Caenorhabditis elegans: one gene and its partners. The protein of the gene in region 1 interacts with the protein of each later gene in a pairwise test. Each region holds a gene or a part of one and is shown on either strand. Other genes may lie near its edges.

What was found.
Region 2: the proteins of myrf-1 (region 1) and ceh-9 interact in a two-hybrid assay, tested with the Caenorhabditis elegans proteins (one large-scale study listed by BioGRID).
Region 3: the proteins of myrf-1 (region 1) and odr-7 interact in a two-hybrid assay, tested with the Caenorhabditis elegans proteins (one large-scale study listed by BioGRID).

What each region holds. Positions count from the first base shown.
Region 1 is NC_003280.10:10,496,052-10,505,052, reverse strand, and holds myrf-1 (Myelin regulatory factor homolog 1, N-terminal), read left to right. Parts: upstream 1-2,511; 5' UTR 2,512-2,565; coding exon 2,566-2,590; intron 2,591-3,826; coding exon 3,827-4,020; intron 4,021-4,367; coding exon 4,368-5,027; intron 5,028-5,075; coding exon 5,076-6,327; intron 6,328-6,374; coding exon 6,375-6,505; intron 6,506-6,585; coding exon 6,586-6,833; intron 6,834-6,883; coding exon 6,884-7,004; intron 7,005-7,048; coding exon 7,049-7,193; intron 7,194-7,242; coding exon 7,243-7,262; 3' UTR 7,263-8,066; downstream 8,067-9,001. Other genes in the region: ZK666.12 (uncharacterized protein), read right to left, coding at 8,350-8,841.
Region 2 is NC_003279.8:564,387-568,867, reverse strand, and holds ceh-9 (Homeobox protein ceh-9), read left to right. Parts: upstream 1-2,279; 5' UTR 2,280-2,476; coding exon 2,477-2,627; intron 2,628-2,987; coding exon 2,988-3,175; intron 3,176-3,323; coding exon 3,324-3,428; 3' UTR 3,429-3,584; downstream 3,585-4,481. Other genes in the region: Y65B4BR.1 (Lipase_GDSL domain-containing protein), read right to left, coding at 3,758-4,259.
Region 3 is NC_003284.9:12,457,641-12,463,741, reverse strand, and holds odr-7 (Nuclear hormone receptor family member odr-7), read left to right. Parts: upstream 1-2,084; 5' UTR 2,085-2,102; coding exon 2,103-2,436; intron 2,437-2,986; coding exon 2,987-3,464; intron 3,465-3,513; coding exon 3,514-3,601; intron 3,602-3,646; coding exon 3,647-3,813; intron 3,814-4,319; coding exon 4,320-4,462; intron 4,463-4,509; coding exon 4,510-4,673; 3' UTR 4,674-4,763; downstream 4,764-6,101. UniProt on the Caenorhabditis elegans protein: Required for the function of one pair of chemosensory neurons called AWA neurons that are involved in chemotaxis to volatile odorants. Acts in a pathway that specifies olfactory neuronal fate.

The DNA of each region.
Region 1 (9,001 bases):
CGGATGTCCATTTGACTCTCTTTTTTCGAAGAATCGAGTGTATGTGGACAGACGAGAGAAACGTTTCCTCCCATCTGGCTCTCGCAGTTTTTTATTCTATTTATTGTATACTTATAAATATGAACGATGACGCTCTCCGTTTTTGTACGGGGGGAAGTGGGAGGAGAGAGAGTGTCCTTAGTACTCGCTACAGGTATTAGAGACATAGAGAAATATGGAAGACAATTGGGGGAAGAGGAGACAGAGGATTGTAGGTCAAGAAAGGTCATTGTTGGTTTACGAGTTGGTACGGGATTTTGCTGTTTTTTGGCCTTTAAAAAAAAATGTTTTTGAAATGGTTAGATGAGTCACTCTGAAGAATTTTCAGTTTTAATTTCAAAATAAAATTTAAAGGGGGAGTAACCACTTAGGATTCTGTTTAAAACCAATGCGACCAAATATCATAGAAAAATTTCTCTATAATTTTTTTTGATACTTTTTTGCATATTCGAATTATAATTATATCAAAAATTCGTATGCGAGCATTTAAAACATAAGAATTGCTCTAATTTTCTCGAAATATAAGCATTTTTATTGTTCGGTAATTTACCAAAACTATGACTGAAAATGTTACAATTTGAAAAAAAATCAACATTATATAGACAATATCCCCTCCACTAGCTCTATCTTTAAAATAATGGCTGCTATCACACACCATCATAACCCAAATTTTATAGGCTGACATATAAACTATACCAATATATCAATACCAATTTTGTAAATTCATTGTCCCTACCGTAATCACCTATCATTTATCTATTGTAATTGCTCATTTCAAAAGTTTAATGGCTGGTGTGCCTGGTACCGGACACCCCGCCTTTGTTAGGAATTGCGAAATTTGTTCAAACTTTTTTTTTCCGCTATGCACCAAATGTTTCAGCTGTTGTTTATTGTACATTAAGTAAATATATACATAGATATAAGTTTTGTTCAAGCTGGCATCAATTACAGATGTGCATATTTTGGTTGCCTGAATTTATTCGAAATAAAAAAAATCTAATACTTTTTTGGAGGTTTAATAGAGATTTGATAGTTGAAAAATCTATTTTGAATGTCCTACCAAATATTCATATACTTTTTAATTTTTATCTAAATTTTTCAAATCTATTACTATTACTTAACTTTTCCCCTTTTCAAGTATTTTTTTAAAATTAAATGACAACTTCCATACATTGAAAAACTTTAATCAAAGCTCACAGCACCTCAATTCATCAGTCAACCATTCCACTGACCCTTTATCAACCTTATCAGTTTCAATGTGAGGTGTCAGCAGGTGCTGGTCATTTTTCAAAATGTTCGTTTTTCTCTCCGTTCCCCTCCCCCTTCTCGTTCCGATTTCCCAAACTTGTAAACACTTTTTTAATAAATTTGATGCACATCTGAAAATGGTGTCAGTGTAGATGCGAATCATATAGTTTTTGAGAGTATTATATGGTTACACAGCTGGTTCTGATGACCAGCGGTGGCAAAAACAAAATTCTGGGCATTTCAAACTAATTTTAAATTCCAAAAAATTAAAGCTGTGTTTTGTTGATGAAAGAATAAAGTTTAAAAACGTTTTAAAAAAGTTTTTGGATAGTTTCAGAAATTGAAATAACTAAAACTTAAGGTTTTTTTAAAGTTTTAGATTTGATACCAGGTGTAATAAAAAAGTCTATTGGAATTTTTCCGATATCAATTTACGCAGAAATTCCAAAAAGTTTGCACCCTTTATTTGCCTGACAACTATCTCTCCCAGAATCCAAATATTTTTCTATTATTCATGATCCTATAGAAAATCGTACTTCTTGATTTCCCGACAAAACCAAAATTGCCAAAAAAAAAGAAACCAAAGCTGCCCAAATTTTCCTTGTACCCCAGTTACCTTCAGTTCTAAAAAATCCAAAGCTTGGCGCGTTCGCCTCTGTGTGTAGGTCTGATACCATGTTTGCTCATACGCAAAAACCAGAGGGTGGCATTCGTTTCCTCCCATTTTCCCCACTTTTTTCCAATTCGCCTCTTCCTCCTCAACTGCCGCGCGCTCAACGCAGGCCAGGCAGTGGAAACATAAAAAAAACGAGCGCTCTTTCTCTTCCATTTTTCTCCCGATCTCTCCGCCTCGGAGACGCAGACAGGTTGGCGTGGCTAGCGGTGCCAGGCTGGACTCGGCCGGGTGCCGACCCCCCACCTAACACCCTCGCCTGCAGTCTCTCCGCTGTTCACACTATTTCTCGGGGTTCTCTCGCTTCTCGGGACGAGAGCGGAGTACGAGGCCGACACAGACACAGACACAGACTGAGCGTTTTTTTTGCTGACGCTGCAGCAGCCGTGGAGGCCATCTTGCTCCGCGTGTGTGTGTCTACTACCCTGCTAACCTACTTTTTTGACTTTTTCATCTTTAATATGATCTAGATGTTCGTAAATTTAACCCATCTTGAACTTCAACATATTTTATTTTTGTCATGGCTCATTTCCGAATTGTTATGCTTACAGAAGCCCTCCCACATACCCAATACCAAAGAACCGATACTTTAGCACACTTCGAACATGTCGAGCTCGGACCTTCTGAAAGGTAAGACATATTAAAAAAAAATAGGTTTTGACGGTGTTCTAGGACAATTAAAAAACCTGAACATTTTTGCAACCTCATTTTTCAACTTTGAGGGCTTACTTTTCAGTTATCGTTTGTTCTATCAAACAATTGTCAACTGACAAAATAATTTTTAGGTCTTTTTTTATCTTTTTGAATTAATTATTTCTGGATATCTTTAAAATGAATTAAGATAAATCCTTTTAAAGTAGTGGAGTGCAATCCTTGAAGATTTACTACTAAACTTTTTTTTAAAAATAAAATCGAGTTATCATTTATTTTCAAACATATATTTGCATTTCAATATCGATTTTGAAATTATGAAGTTTACTACAGTAACCCTGCAACTAAAAGTAAAATGACAAAATTTAATATTTTGGAAAACTGTTTTTCAACGATTCACAAAATCTCTACTGAATTATTGAAGCTCATTCAGAAATTACTACTGTAATCCCACATCTGATCTGCAGGTTACATATCAAGAAGGTTACTGTACCTTGCACTTACTCTACCTAGTCTAGGTGTCTAGGTCTAGGTCACCATCACACACACACACACAGACAATTTCAAAACATGCCGTGGTGTCCGGCGGCAAGCCATGAAGTGACCACTCACTTTCTGATTCCTATCTTCTTGCCTCAATCATCATGTCTGCGTCTCAATGTCCTATATGATCACTCGTCTCGTTCGCCTATCTACTTACACGCTTCCCTTGAAAAAGTGCATCTTTTCACGCGCCCAGATTCGCTCCTTTCCTCATTGTGTTTCTTTTTTCTCTCGACCCACAATCACGGAAGCTCGTTTTGGTTTTTTTTTCTTGAAAGAAGGAACGTCGATGTAGATGCTGGCAAAGCAAACATTTTTGTGTCTAAAAATATTATTTTTGCGAAAAAAAGTTATTTCAGATTTTAAATGTTCCATTTTAAAATATGCAATTCGTATTTCCATATTTCCACTTTGACAGCTTATATCTCGGTTGTCTTTAGTTTTATCAAAAACTGCCAACTGGTTTTATTGGTGCAAAATGTTCCTCCTTTATTTTGATAATAAAACAGTTTGTGTATGCTTGTAGGCATGTAGGCAGAAAGGCGTAAGTACGTAGACCCAATGTTCCTTCTTGTGGCTTTAACTTAAAAAAATTAATTTAGGATGATTATTTAGACTTTTTTAAAAAACATTTACAAAATAAATTTGATTAAAAATAAAAACAAATTTCAGGCGAGTTTGACGGGCTCAACTCGGAGCACTTTAACATGATGCAGTACTTAACTCAAGATACTGACGAAGACGATGGCTCAATGGTGTCCCCTACGTCTTCAGCAGATAGCATGCATCAAAATCTAGGAGTTCAACAGCAACAGCAACAAATGCTGCAAGCACAGCAACGACAAAACCAAAATGGCATTTTTCAGGTTAGTTTCTTATTCTTTTCATTTGATGAAATATCTCTTCGGGATAAGAAAAAACGGAACAAATGTTCTAATTCTTCTATGTTACGTAATTCACTAATTGATAGAAAAGATTGTGGTGAAGAGGCGAAGCCTTGAACAAGAATAAGATGAAGAACAAGAGATAACCTTGAGAACCGATTTCCCTTTTTCCAAAAGTGTCTAGAGACAGGGGTTTTATAGGGTTTAAATCGGCAGATATGGACATAAGAAGTAATTTTGGTTAAATAACTAGAAGTATTGAAAAAAAAACTACAGACAGAATGGCGTCATTGTGTGCTGAAACATACAATTAATGTGTGAAATTTCAGCCCCGTCGATTCCCTGAATCTCCAGCAATGACGGATCCTTGCGGAAATGTCTCTTCATCGTCATCATCATCACATCATTCGGACCCAATGTTCTCCCCAAATGAATTTAACGGATACGCTGGAGCCAATGATAACGGAAATCAAACAATGAACAATATTCAATCTCAACAACTCAGCCAGCAACAACATCAGCAGACACGTGGCGGAAATCTTATGATGCCCCAACAATCATCGATTCACGCCCAAATGCAAAACATGAATGCTCCACAATTCTGGAGCCAACCGGGAACTGCTGCAGTCAATCAACCTACAAACACCCTGGCTCAACTCAACCTTTTCAACATTATTCGTGGAGGAGCCGACAGTGGAATGCCAAGCCCTGTTTTGGAGATGCCACGTAAGAGAAGCCGACTTGACACCCCGTGTGAAACGCCAAGAATCGCTCCAAGCTTTGCTGGTATTGACGGATTTCCAGATGAGAATTACAGTCAGCAACAGGCAATCAGATTCTCAAAGTTTCAAGAAGAACAGTGGAGTCCACTGTATGACATCAACGCTCAACCGCTACAACAACTTCAAGTACATGTTGTTGCTGATAAGGGATTCAACTACAACTCAAATGATAATTGCTTTGTGAACCAGAAGAAAAATCATTTCCAGGTATGTAGATATATAGGAGTTTAAAATGTATTATTATTTTATTTTCAGATCTCTGTAAACGTGGAAGCTTCCGATACAATGCCACCAAAGTACGTTAACTTCAACAACCGACTCGTTCCAATTCGTGACTTCAAACTTTCGTTCTGTGGAGTTAAAGCTGAGATGCCATCGTCTGAAATCACAATTCGCCAATCTCGAGCCGATCGTAAACCACATACACATACTCCTGTGCTCTTTGAAATTCAAGAACGAAGAATGACAAAAGTTTGTGTACCACGTCTCCATTTCTCTGAGACCACCCTTAACAACCAAAGAAAACAAAAGAATCGTCCAAACCCGGAGCAAAAATTCTTCCTTTTGGTTGTCAGGTTATTTGCAAGCATTGATGAATCTGAGCATGGAGTTCTTATTCAATCATACGCATCTGAGAAGGTCATCGTTAGAGCCACCAATCCAGGAAGCTTCGAGCCACAAGATACGGACATTGGATGGCAACGAAATGGAGGAGCCCTGTATACACAGGGAGCTGTCTCCGTCGGAACTGAACATCAGGTTGAAAGTGCCAAGCTTACAGTAGCTGGGGACATTTATATGAGTGGCCGAATAATCAATCCATCCGATATTCGACTCAAGGAAGCAATTACTGAACGGGAAACTGCTGAAGCTATTGAAAACCTTCTGAAACTCCGTGTTGTCGATTACCGCTACAAACCAGAAGTCGCAGACATCTGGGGACTTGATGAGCAACAAAGACATCGCACAGGACTGATTGCACAAGAGCTTCAAGCTGTGCTTCCTGATGCAGTACGAGATATTGGAGATTATTTGACAATTGATGAGGGACGAGTGTTCTACGAGACTGTAATGGCAACTCAACAACTCTGCAGAATGACCGGAGACTTGGACAGTAAGATCGATGAAAAAGTTGCCGAGATTAGCAGACGATTGAATGAATACGCAGTCCGAAAGAAGCTCGCTAGCTCAATGGCATCTAACCTCAACGGAGACAACAAGAGTCTCTCATACTCAAGATGCTCACTCACATCAACTGCAACCAATGCCACGTCACAACCAAAGAGAAGCAGGAAGCATCGTGCCATAAAACAGGCACAATCCTGTGGAAGCCGACTTAGTCAAGGAACAGTTGTCACCTTGGTTTCCATTATGGCCGCTTGTCTTCTCGCCATGTCAGCTCTTTATGTCCTTGATTGGCATAACCGAAACTACGGATATCACCAACATTTCGAAACGAACACACCATCCACTAAAGGAGAACTCGCCAATCTTGTCATATCACCAGGTTAGTCCAAATTTCCGAGCTTCATACAAAAATTCATGATTTTTCAGCCAACTTCATGCCCTCATTCCAACCCGATGCCCCTATACTACTTGAAAAATGCTTCAATCCATCTTGTAAAACATATTGTTGTACAGATACGCCGCCCGTTGTAGAGGACAGTAGAGCCATCGCTACACATGTAAGTTTAATCTATTTCCGTCACGAGACTATAATCTTAGATATTCAACAATTCTAAGCCTTCACTGTACATTATTACAGGGCCTCGACAATGGCGATGAAGTATATCCAGAGAGTCCATCCAACAGAACCAATGGCATCGCACGTGCTCCAAACCTTGAGCACATGGCTTTTGAAACTGGAGTTGAGATTAGAATCCCTGCACTGAATGTGACACTTGACCAGCGTTACTGTGTGGAACGCAGTTGTAACAAACGAAAAGGAATCTTCAATGTCTTTGTGCCAGTGTCAAGATATATGCCTGATGTTGCTCTTGAAATTGAAATTAAGTAAGTTGGCACCTTGAATTTTGAATTTTTAAACTTTTAAAAAATTATAGAGCTCCAATTTCAAAAGTCGTGAGCAACTGCGGAGCGTTCCCTTCAACAGAGTTCAACCACAAAGTTTGTCCGTTGAGCCGAACTCAACAAAGCGAATCACCGGTACCAACTTCTACAAGAGTGAGTTTCGCCTTTTTAAACTATGAAAACTATTCAAATTTCAGCTATTTGACAATATCTTCGAGTTATCTATGGGTTCCTTCATCCAATCAGCCTACCGGTTCCGAGTCGGCTACTCCACTGAAACCTGCTTCAGCGAGGATTCAAATGGATCCTACGAGGAGTACAATCTGATCTTTTATCGCATGTGTAAGTGACTTCATGAATTTTTAAACATGAATTTAATAATGTATTTCAGGCACCCTATCATCTTCATAAGCTAATGCTTCATATATCATTTTTGTTTGCGCCAGTGGGCCGTTGCAATTCTTTCAAACCTTCTTCCAAAAAATCCCTCGCCCAGAAATGTCTTTTCTCTTTTTCTCTGACTCTCTGTCTCTCTGTCTGACACTCATTGAAAATTGTTTTATTATAATATTATTTCTTTACTTCTTCTCATTCAAATCTCATCCACACCGTTCAGCATTTTATATGAAACCACTTGTGTCCAACCAACATGTATCCCCCCGGTTACAATCGTGTATACTCTAAAAACCCCGTCGCCAACTTTTCAAATTTTCAGCCCAGTTTTCTTCATCCCCCAACTGTATTTATTTTCAAATCTATACCTCATCTCCTCTCATTTATTCCCCCTTCTCTTGTCTCATGGATTCCAAACAGGCTCTCCCGAATTGATCAGCCAATATGTAAAAATGTTGAGTAACCAGGACTTCTTCACTCAGATACAACCAATCTATGTCGACGAAACACTTTTCTTGAAATTTATGTACTTTTTAATGGATTTTTTTTTCAAAAATTCAAACAACAACACACACAAAGACCTCTATGAAAAACTCTCCCTGAATGATATCGATAGGTACATTTTTTCATTTTTTTCCCAAATACTTTATTCTTTTTTCTAAAACTGCAAAAAAAATCACGAAAAAATATTTATTTCTTCATTTGTTGATCAGAATCTTTTTTAACCTATTCACTTTAATCTTTTTATGCCCCCGTCCCCGTACTCTGAAATGTCGTTTCTTGTCCTTTCATTTCACTAATGAATAAAATAATTTCAATTTTATCCAAGCCCATACATATAAAGTTTAATAAAATCAGAGAATTGAATCCGTTTTTGACCAAAAAGTAGCAAAAACCCTGACCTCTATTTTTCTAACTCCACAAAAAAATCGACAAATATACATTAATGGAAAAAAACCTTAAAAGTTATTACTTTAATAAATTAATAAATTCTTTGAATCCGATTGTACCTGTGATGTTTTTCGGAAGCTTAGATTTTTTGGAATATGATCATTTTGTATTTCAAATAATTTATTTCACATTTACATACATTAATAATAATAATCTAAAAATCATCTTCTACCATACTCTTAAACATTTTTCGATGTGAAGTCTTAAACTTCAATAATAAAAAACATCGGTAATATGCGGGTAACAAAAATAAACAAAACAACGAGAATAAGGAATAACTCAATGGAGATTCATACTTTTCACAAATATATTTTGCATAAAAAAGTACCATTGCTGTCAGTGCAGCTGCTTCAATTGATGATAATGGCCGTAAAACAGAAAAGAATCGAACTCCAATGGCTACAAGATCCAGAGTGAAGCCGATGAAAAGACATAAGAGAAAAGTGGTGTACCAGTCATGAAGATTTTTAGAAAAGAATGGAAGAATAATCACATATGGAATTGTGATTATAAGTACAAGTTTTGGAGTTGTACTTGATTGTTGTTCAGCTTGTTTATCATGTTCCTCTTCTTCTTTTATCTCCATTAATTCTTCAACATCAGGTCGAATGTCTCCTTGGATTGGTGAAATTGACATTTTCTTCATTTTTTGAAATTACCTGAAGCTATGAAATTAACAGAAAAATTTGTGAGTTTGAAAAAATTAAAGAAACAAATTATCACGAGGAAATAAAAACGGATTTCGGATTTTTCTGAAATCGATTTCATTTTATCGATAATGTCAAGCAGAAAATTATTTTACAAAT
Region 2 (4,481 bases), on another chromosome or scaffold:
AAATGTTTCCTTGGAAGTATATAATACTCATACGGGTGTGTGTGTTTTAATGTTCAGCATTTTAGGTATTGATAAAATAAGTTCAAGCTAGAAATTTTCCTTGTTTTCCCAAAAAAAAATTTTTAAGGTGGGGTACCGAAATCTGGGAAATATTTTTGAATGAATCCTAATTTTCCCCTGATTCCGAGTATCTATGTGAAAAAATTCAAAATTCAAAACAAGTTTGCCAGATTTTATATTTAAGCTTGAAATCGCCGAATTTCATTTGTATCCCGGTCTCTTTTTTAAATACGCGCTCAAATAAATTAGCATTGGAGCGCGCTTGCATTGTTTGATTTTTTTTCGTTTTTTTACATTTTTTTCAGAAAAAAAAAACCGACAAAAATGAATGAAACTGGTTTTAAAAAAATTGAATTCGGCTAAAATAAAAAAAACTAAACGAAAAAAAGTCAAACGATGCACGCGCGCGCTAATTTATTTGGGCGCGAGTTTGAAAAAAGTGATGCGAGTACAAATGAAATTTAAAAAAAAAAAATTTTTATGAAAGATTTCAAGCTTAAATATAAATTCAGGAAATTTTTTTTGAATTTTTTCACATAGATATTCGGAATCAGGGGAAAATTTAGGGTGAATTAAAAATATTTCCAAGATTCAAGTTTTTTTGGTTAGACCCTTATTAATTTTTGCGTGCTGACGTCACAATTTTTCTGGAAAAATATTCCCGCATTTTTCGTAGATCAAACCGCAATGAGACAGCCTGACACCACGTGTATCGGTTTATTTTTAAGATACCACATGGAAATTGACAAATTCTCGATTCACCATGACTAAAACTAGAATATTAATAAAATTTTAGCTATAAGTATTTGTCTGTTGCTTCTCGACAAAGCTGTAGAAAAAGTTTCGAAAAATTGAATTTTTGAATTTGAATTTTTGATTTTTTTGATCCCAAGTTTTTTTCCAGTTCGTTCCAGTAATAATTATATATATATCTAGGCAAATAAATCTCCCCTCGCTTGAAATAAAAAAAAATAAACTCAAGACATATCAAATAAGCAATCAACTTTCATGTCCGCTATATAAGGTCTGAAACATTTATGGAAAAAGTTTGTTTGCCACAAAGATTTATTCGTTGACATTTTTTAAGAATGTTCCCAAGATGGAAGTCATGAATTTATACTTTCTTGGAATAATTTTATTACCAACTGTTTTCTGATTTTTTTTTGGTTAAAAATGTCCCCCCGTCTCATTTCATTTTCCCGCTAGAATATATTTTTTCTCCTGCAACCTATAAACTTCCGATAATTGATGATATTTAAATAAAAGTGTTCAGTGATATTACGGAAAAAATGCAAAAACCTCAAACTTTCCAAAATAACGTACGACTTTTTAAAAGTAAGTAATTTACATTTAACATGCGTAGTATTATGTTTCTCTAGTTTTACATTTTCCTCAAGTTCTAATAGGAATATATCAAACTTCAAAAGAAATTTAGAGCATTTGGGAGCAATTTGGGCTCGGAAAATTTTTTTGGTTTTTTTATTGTATTTTTAAATTAAAAAAAAAAGAGCCGTGAAATTGCTCAAAAAAAAAAAGGTTTTTTTGCGTGCGGGTTGCATATCCTCATTTTAAAAGTAATTTTTTAGGCTATAAAAATATAAACTTGTGAAAGATATGTTTTTTTCTGGATTTTGTGAATTTCTGGAAATTTCTCTTTCTTTTTTTTCTACCCTTCCCTCACCCCCGCCTGAGCTTATTCTGAAGCCAACACCTAAGCCTAAGCCTAAGCCTAAGCGTAAGCCTAAGCCTAAGTCTGAGCATAAGCCTAAGCCTCAGCCTAAGCCTCAGCCTAAGCCTAAGCCTAAGCCTAAGCCTAGGCCTAAATTTAAGTGTAGCCTTAAGTCTAGACCTAAGCCTAAGCCTAACAATAAGCTTATACTCAGTAGACATCCTTACAAAATTAATTCGATTTCCATGAAAAATTGTAGATCAACCTTGCTGGTCTATTCAAAAGGTTTTTTTCAAATAATTGAGGTTATATTTGAAAGTCCAAGTATTACAAATTAGCACAATAATATCACATGTGCCTCCGCTACTCCAAAATTTCAATTCAAATATTTAAGTTCAAGAAAAGTATTTAATAGTCAAGTATGAGAAACTCATTCCCTCAATTGCATCAAGTATCATCCCTTACCACCAATCCTCCTCTCCCCCTCCTCCTTCTCGAAATCCGGTCTCTTATTCAATTTGCTGGCTCATGCTCTTTTTGTCATCATCTCAGAACTCACCCATCTTCTTCTTCTTTCCACACCAATTGCGCAATCATTGTCGACCACTTTGGCAAATTGTCGTCGTCGTCAACCGTCAAAAGTCCCCCGAGAGTCCAGAATTTCAATTATTTGATTGAAGAGAAGGCGGGGACCTCGAGACCTACTGTATAGAGAAGTCTCTCAGAAGTTCTTTTCATTCGTGCAAAATGGAAACTGACTTGCTCTTCCAACTACTTCAACCCTATTTTGCACTGTTGACGTCTGATGTGAAGCCTCAGAGAAGAACTAGTCACCTGATAAAGGATATACTTGACTTACCAACTGTTAATGGAGAAATTGATGAATTTGGAAGATGCAGTAAGTTGATTTCTTTGGATTAGGTGTATGAAGTTTTGTAGTTGAAAAATAGACTAGTTTTGGGCATGGTGCATTTGAGGTGAAATACTATTCTTTTTGACATGGTGCATCGATTCGTATTTTCTGTAATAGTATTTCACTGGCCTTTTTTTGAGTAAAAATTACAAAAATTACAAGACACAATTTTTATTTCCTTTACTCTCAATTTTTGTTTTAAAATATTAGAAAATCTGAAAAAAATTAAAATGTTTTCGAAATTTTGGAAAAAAAATTTTTTGGAAATTTACTAATTTTGTTCAATGAATTTCGGAAAAATGCTACACGTAGAAAAATAATCAGCCGTTAAGAATATTTTTTCAGAATCCAGCCTCGACCAAGCCAAAGAGTCTCCTATAGAAAAATGTCAAAAAACAAAGAGAAAGAAGGCGCGGACGACATTTTCCGGGAAACAAGTATTCGAACTGGAGAAGCAGTTTGAGGCGAAAAAGTATTTGTCAAGTAGTGACAGAAGTGAGCTTGCAAAACGATTGGATGTCACGGAGACGCAGGTAGGCACGCAGCGCGGCACGCAACGCGGCACGCAACGCAGCCCGCAACGCAGCACGCAACGCGGCACGCAACGCGGCACGCAACGCAGCACGCAACGCAGCACGTAACGCGGCACTCAACGCATAGCTGAAATTTCTCAAATTCCAGGTGAAAATCTGGTTCCAAAACCGGCGTACCAAGTGGAAGAAGATCGAATCGGAAAAGGAAAGATCTGGAGAAATACCGGATGATCAGATTGTGAAGCCGCAATAATTTTATGTTGTTTTTATTTTTCAAAGAAAAAGTCGTGATATATCCCCTTCTATGAAATCCCGTGAACAATTAGTATTTCCAGTATCTTTTTTTCAAAATCAAGATCTCTTCCTTTACCTTGATCTCCATTCTTCTAATAAATAATTATTGCAAAAATATTTACTCGCTCTATTGATAGCTATATTGTGTACTCCACGTGGATATTTTTATTGAGGGTGCTCTTTCTTTTATGTCTCACACGTTAAAAATTAAAGATTACACGATAAAACATTTTATTGCAGACCCGATAAGTACGTCAAATTACACACACAAACACAATTTCCTACAGTCTAGGCAGTCATATATTTCGAGCAGTCAACACTGTTCTTAGTTGTTCTGAAGAATGGGCACTTGGTGTCTGGGCAGTTTAGTGGAATGGTAGGATCTGACAGATTGACTTGATGGTTCTTGGATCCGACTGGTTGAACGATATTGTTCCACAAGTGCTTGGCAACATTGGCGTGGCCTAGTTTTGAGAAATGGAAGCAATCCGGTGCAAACCAATCCAGATTGACTTCTCCGTCGGGCTTGAGTGGTGGAACTGTGATTCCATTGAAGAATGGTTGAACGACAAATGTAAAGTCATCTGTTGAGTCGAAGATTCCCGAGTCTTGAATCTCCTGCTGAGCATCCATGTAAAGATGGCAGGCAGCCGAGATGTCGGTATTCGGGAAGTCCTTGTTCTTCTCGCATGGGCACTCGAACACATGGAGGCCGTCGCAGAAATACTTGTCGTGGTCGATTTGGCGAAGCATGGCCATGTCGAACATTCCGGTCATGGATACGATGGTTCTGGAAGGACTTGGTATTGATGGCATAGTTATGGACCATACTCCTCTTTTTGAAAAAAAAATTTCCATAAAAAGCCGAAAAATGTTGGCTCTTATTATCGAAAAATACGATCGCAAATTTTTTTCATAATTAATTTTTGATCTACCTTTGGAAGTTGACTCTGCCCACGTGGTGTCAGAGTGTCTCATTTTGGCTTGAATTACGTTGATCTACAAAAAATGC
Region 3 (6,101 bases), on another chromosome or scaffold:
TGTTTATTTGTTGAAGAAAATAACTGATAGGCAACTGAAGTTAAGCTGTTAATTTTTATAGGCTATAATAAATAGAACTTCGAAAGATGGAATACAAACTTTCAAAAATATGCGGTAAAGCACTTTTTTTAATTGATAAAGTAATTGGTAAACTTAAAAAAACTTACTTCAGGGTTGTCAATATTGGCTGAAGAATATTAACTTTCAATCAGAAAGATGTAAACAGAAGTTGACAAATATTTTGAAATGCAAAATTTATTTATAACAATTTTTACAGTACTCAAAACGAAATTGCAATAAAAAAATAATTTTAAACTAGCTTATTTGATTCCACACCTTAGATGCCCTTCTTGTCAGTGTGCTAAATTTTTTTTGATTACTGCCAGAAGTCTCCCAACAGTTTCGAAGTATTTTTAAAATTTGACATTTTTGTAGATTTAAATCAAAAAATAAATATGATTTTCCAAGTTGTCGTCACTATCTTGTTGGCATTTAGTGAAATAAAACTACCGACAAAAAATATGTTCACGTAAAAATATATAAAAAATCAGAATAACTGATATGTTCAAAAACGTTGGTATTAAAGTTTATTGTGCAAAGTTGTAGTCTATGAAATGTTTGGTGATGTCAAGTTTCGGGAAAAAAACCACCTCCGATTGTTAAGTCTAATAATTTCTAATCAATCAATGTGTAAAATTTAGAAATAATTTATTTCAGAAACTTCATGATTGGCAGATGACGTTGTTACCTTCACTGAGCCCCTTATTCCTACGGTAGGTGCTCGCCACGCCTCTTCACACATCTTCTGCGATTGTTTTCGAGTTATCACCAATTTGACTCCTACACTATTTTCCGCTGTATTGAATAACAAAATATCAGTTTCCATCCCAATCAATACTAAAACTGTGTATCCAGTTTGGTCAGCTTCCGGTCAGTTTTGAACATTCTGTCTTTATTGTCCGCTACCGTCCCCGCTCGTACAACATTTTGTGTTTGTCCACAAATTATTGTGATTGCTCTTGTTGTTGTGCGCCCGTGTAAATGCCAATTTTTGTCTGTGTGACTATAAGAATTGAAGTATACGTACTGCAAAATGGCATCCTGGATTGTAACCAAATAGGGAGGAAGATACAAGAAAATGTATCGAAATATTACATTTTTCTTCCGAGATCATATAAATCGACACATTCATGGTTCGAACAAGTTTATATTCGTTCATCTCTTTCTAGGTTGATGTTAGATTTTCTGCTAGAAATTCTTAAACTACCAAGTGTTAGAAGACTTGTGTGGTTAATACAAACTTTATAGACTCATCCCAACCTTAATTCCAAAAAGCCTAATCGTAAAGTAATGGCTCAGAATTTTTTGATTTTGTAAACTCAAATTCTGAGTCGTCCCTTCTTCTATCCAACTTTTGATCATGAAAAATTATTATGATCTGTTATGATTATACCTGTACCGCGCACAAAATCAGCTTACTAACAGTGTTAAAATGCTCCACAAAACATTTTTAGCATTAAACAGAAAACCTGATTTAGTTATTAAGTATACATTTCATCACCGTTAACAGTAATATTTAAGACGATTTATTATTAAAACAGCAAAGGAAATGAAGGTTACCTTATAAAACTAAACATTCTCATTTTTGTTTTAAAATCAAAGCGTTTTTTTCATAACCTTCTTTGAATTCTTTGTGTTTTTTCAATTCTCAAAAAATCTTTATCATTTTTCTGAAAACTAAACCAAACGAATTAAAAAATTTTACTCACATGTTAAAACCATTTGTATCTTCGACTACAAATTTTGGCCATTTTGTTTGTCACAAAAATCCGTTTCTGATTGAGCTACGGTAGATACAATTTGCATAATCTAACAGATTCTCGGCGTTTTGAGATATCGGGAACCAGTTAGATCTTTAAAACGATATCTATTTTGGAATGCACTTTTGAGATTTGGATACAAAAGTTCATTCTGATCAAATTGACACTGGAGGTCTTGTTAAATTATTTCAATAACACTGACATCTTCTGGTTTTACTCTTTCTTTTGAAAACGGCATAACAACATTTTTTTACAATATATTACAGCTATTTCCTTTCAAAAATGATAGTACCGGACACTGAGGGATTGTTAATTTATTCGTATGGACTGATGTACGGTTCATATTGTATGGCATGTCAAATGTTGATTCCACACTTTCAATGCATACCCGGCATTTTTCCAAACTTTAGAATTTCAACTGAACTCATCAAGACTATGACGGATAAATTGGAGCAACCGAACAACAACGTTCCTCAACAGCCATGGGGCCCTTTTCCTCCTGCATTCGGTGGCCGGCCAAGTGGTGAACAGACTGATGGAAATCCAGGAGAGTTTGATAATGATGCTGCACATCAACAAACGGCTCCGTTCATGACTCATTTCTTTCCAAGAATCGGTGAGATGTTTGTCAGAACAAAACTAGGGCTGTGATTCGTTTTTTATTGATTTCCATTTAAGTCAAAAAATTTCAAGAATTCGTAATTGTATGGCTGAAATTTTTTGTAAGTGGGATCGATCAGTACATTATCACTCAGTTTACATATAATTTGAAAAAAAAAACGAAAAGTAATTGCTAAAAGTACTCACCAATTTGCCGAAAAATCTCTACCAACTTTAGCAATGCCCATTCCAAAATTGAGCAACTTTAGCAATGCCCACTGCAAACTTTAGAAAAGTTGAGTAAAGTTGGTTAAAGTAGGAGATGATTTAAAAGATACTACAATTGGGAGAAAAGCTGCGAGATAGTATGGTTCGTTATAAAGCTGCTAGTGTTTCTTGAGAAAATGCGGCAAATGGTCGGTCATTTGAAATACTTCAAACTAGAGCTGCAATCTCTGTCATATTTTAAGTTTGGGAAAATTAATAAATACTTACCCAGCTCAGGATAAAAGTTTCTGGATATATATCTTTTCTTTATTTTCTGATCTTCATTTTTTGAATTTCAGGACTTCAATTCCCAGACTTTACCGAGTACCAGCGTTTTAATGGCTTCCAACGAAACGCATTCTTCCCTAATCCATTCGGATCTCAGTTCACAGGCCAAGCATTTGCACAGTCGTTCCCATTGCACAATTCAATGACTACCATGGATGGTTTCAATTTGACACATGCTCCTCACCCGTTTTCAACAAATACAAACTCTACAAAACCTAAGGACATTGAAAACACGGTTCAAAGTACAATCAAACACAGTTCGGAAAACATCCAGGATAAGCCACCAGTGTTGTCTGTGGAATACCCTGTTAAATACGATTCTGAACTGAAATTTGACGCAAATGTAGATTTCACAGCAGTTCCTAAACAGGAGTCTTCAGACGATTCAACTCTAAAAAATCTCAAAAAATCAGACCAACAGCTACAACAACCGCAACAATTTACATTTCCACCTCCATTATTAGCGGAGAAATCATTTGAGCAGCCCAGGTAGATCGACTTTTAAAGACAGTTGTAAAATATCAACTGATAAGTTTAGAATGCGAGAAGACGTTTTACCTTTTCATCCACAATTCTATCCGGCACCACTTGACATGGGCACAAACTTCAAGCAAGAAATGAGAACTGTAATCTCTTCACAATTAACAAAATCTAAACACCAAAAATTTCAGCCACCAATCGACGGGCACATTGATTACAGAAAATTTGATGCTAGCGGAAAGAGAATGGAGTTTCAGCCACCGGGTGCTTTGCATGACTGTCAAGTGTGTTTGTCAACTCATGCTAACGGGCTTCACTTTGGAGCCCGTACATGCGCCGCATGTGCTGCGTTTTTCAGGTAAGAAAGCTCATAATGCAAGTGTATTTAGATGGCCTTTTGCTGTTTGAGACTTGAGAACTCTAGAAAACGTCTCAAAAAAAAACATTTTACGGTTTTTTAAAATATTAGATAAGCTTAGCTGAAATCTTTGATTTAAAAACTTTGCGTGTCGCAGCGATTGAAGGTTAATTTTAATTGTTTTGTAGTTAAATGAACAGAATTGAAACAAAAATCAATTTGTCAAGCGCGTCAAAAATTTTTGTAATATTCGCAGCTTTAAGGATTACTTTTTTCTGACTTTAAACCATCTTATAACTTTTTTCAAAGTATCATATTAAAACAATTATCGCTACTACATTTTTGATGATGATTTGTTTTGATGTTTTGAATGCTTGTAAATGTTAAAACACACTGTTTAATTTTATTTCGTTGTCAATGCTTCAGTTCAAACCAGTATGACTCAATAAAGCCTGTGTGCTACACAGAAAACTGTTAAGTTAAAAAACCCCATCATAAAATTTCAGAAGAACTATCAGCGATGACAAACGATATGTCTGTAAGAGGAACCAACGGTGCAATAATGCAAGCCGCGATGGAACTGGGTATCGGAAGATTTGTCGGAGTTGTCGAATGAAACGATGTCTGGAAATTGGAATGCTTCCAGAAAGTTGGTTTTTTTTTGTCAAATCATAATGCTCACCAAATTTATGTCAGATGTGCAGCACAAGCGAAATCGTCGAGATTCTGGATCCCCGCCTCGTAAAACTCCATTTGACACTTTCTTCAACGGATTTTACCCCTCATTCCAACCTTCTGGATCAGCAGCTCAACCGATCACTGTATCCTCAAGTGAATCACCTCGTCACACAACTAATTGAGCGTGATAATTGTTTATCTTCCGATCTCAAAGCATAAGTTCCAGTTCTATTATTACCGATACTCACAATGTGATTCAATAAAAAATAATTTACTTCGATCTGGAAAGGGCTAAGGCAGTTCTTTCATAAAACGTATTGAAACAGTAAAAACGGTCCCCAGTATGTAAAAGAAACATCGATCTGATCAGTCATACTATTTTTCTAATCAATAGTTTTTTTTTCAATTAGATAGTGTTTTAATAGTAAGTTTTTCTAAAGTCAGGAAAATAAATATCAAATAATTATCTGATTTTTTAAATGTAAAATTGGAATAACGAGGCAAATATTTTGAAAACATTTTTTTTGTTTTCTGTGTAGAACAAGTTTTGTTTTAAATGATATCATATAACCAATTTCATTTAACAGTAATTAACTAATTTAAAGATATTAGGCGTCGTGGTTACAATTACTGCTTTTTGGTTATAATTCTTTTATGAACATTTGCACATACTGTTTAATTTAATTTTCATTGCAACTTGGCTAACGGAGAATGCTATTATCTTCTTACTTTTGTAATAATTATTTTGTACAACATGTGTAGTTGAAATTTTGAAGGAACACAGCAACCAATGACAGTATTGAATAAGAAACTCGTACTCAATTTGAAAGATACTTTTCTATATTTGCTTTATTGCGCGCTGTGATGCAATTTATACGGAAAAACCTGTCTATATGTTGACTTGCGATAGTTTTCCCTGTCGTTGATGACAATCGCAAAGACCTAAATTCCGTGGAATGTTCTACCGGGAATCTCAACATCCAATTGACACCTGTTGTCATCTGGGGGTATAGCTCAGTGGTAGAGCGCTCCCTTAGCATGGGAGAGGGCTGGGGTTCAATTCCCCATACCTCCATAAGTTTTTTGCATTATTAATCGAGTTCATTTACATAAAGGCAAACATCTATAGCAGCACTCTAGCACTCTGGTAGAATGGTGTTATTGGAAGTTAAATGAAACTAAATATAATAATAATAATTGTTAGACTCAGATTTTTTTTCTTAATAATTGTTAGACTCAGATTTTAATGTAAAGTGTTATTCCAACATAAGTGGTTAAGACTAATTTCAAAGTTTTACCCATTTTTCAATTGCAATTTATTCAACAAAAAATAGACTTTTAGGTAGATCTGTCTGAGGAATGCTCAATAAATTTGAATCATGGGGATCAATAGTTGCAAGGAGATCCGAGACTGAAAGTAAGACTGGTGTAAATTTAACAAAAAATCAATAAAGAAATGCTTGGGATGAGCGAAATTTTGTTCTATGATATTATAATTTCAATAAATTATAACTTAATTTAAATGGGCGAAAAATGATAAGGCTTTTGGGAGAAGAACTGGGGTTGAAAGTGATAAATAAATAAATAAATATAAAACAAAAATTATGAAT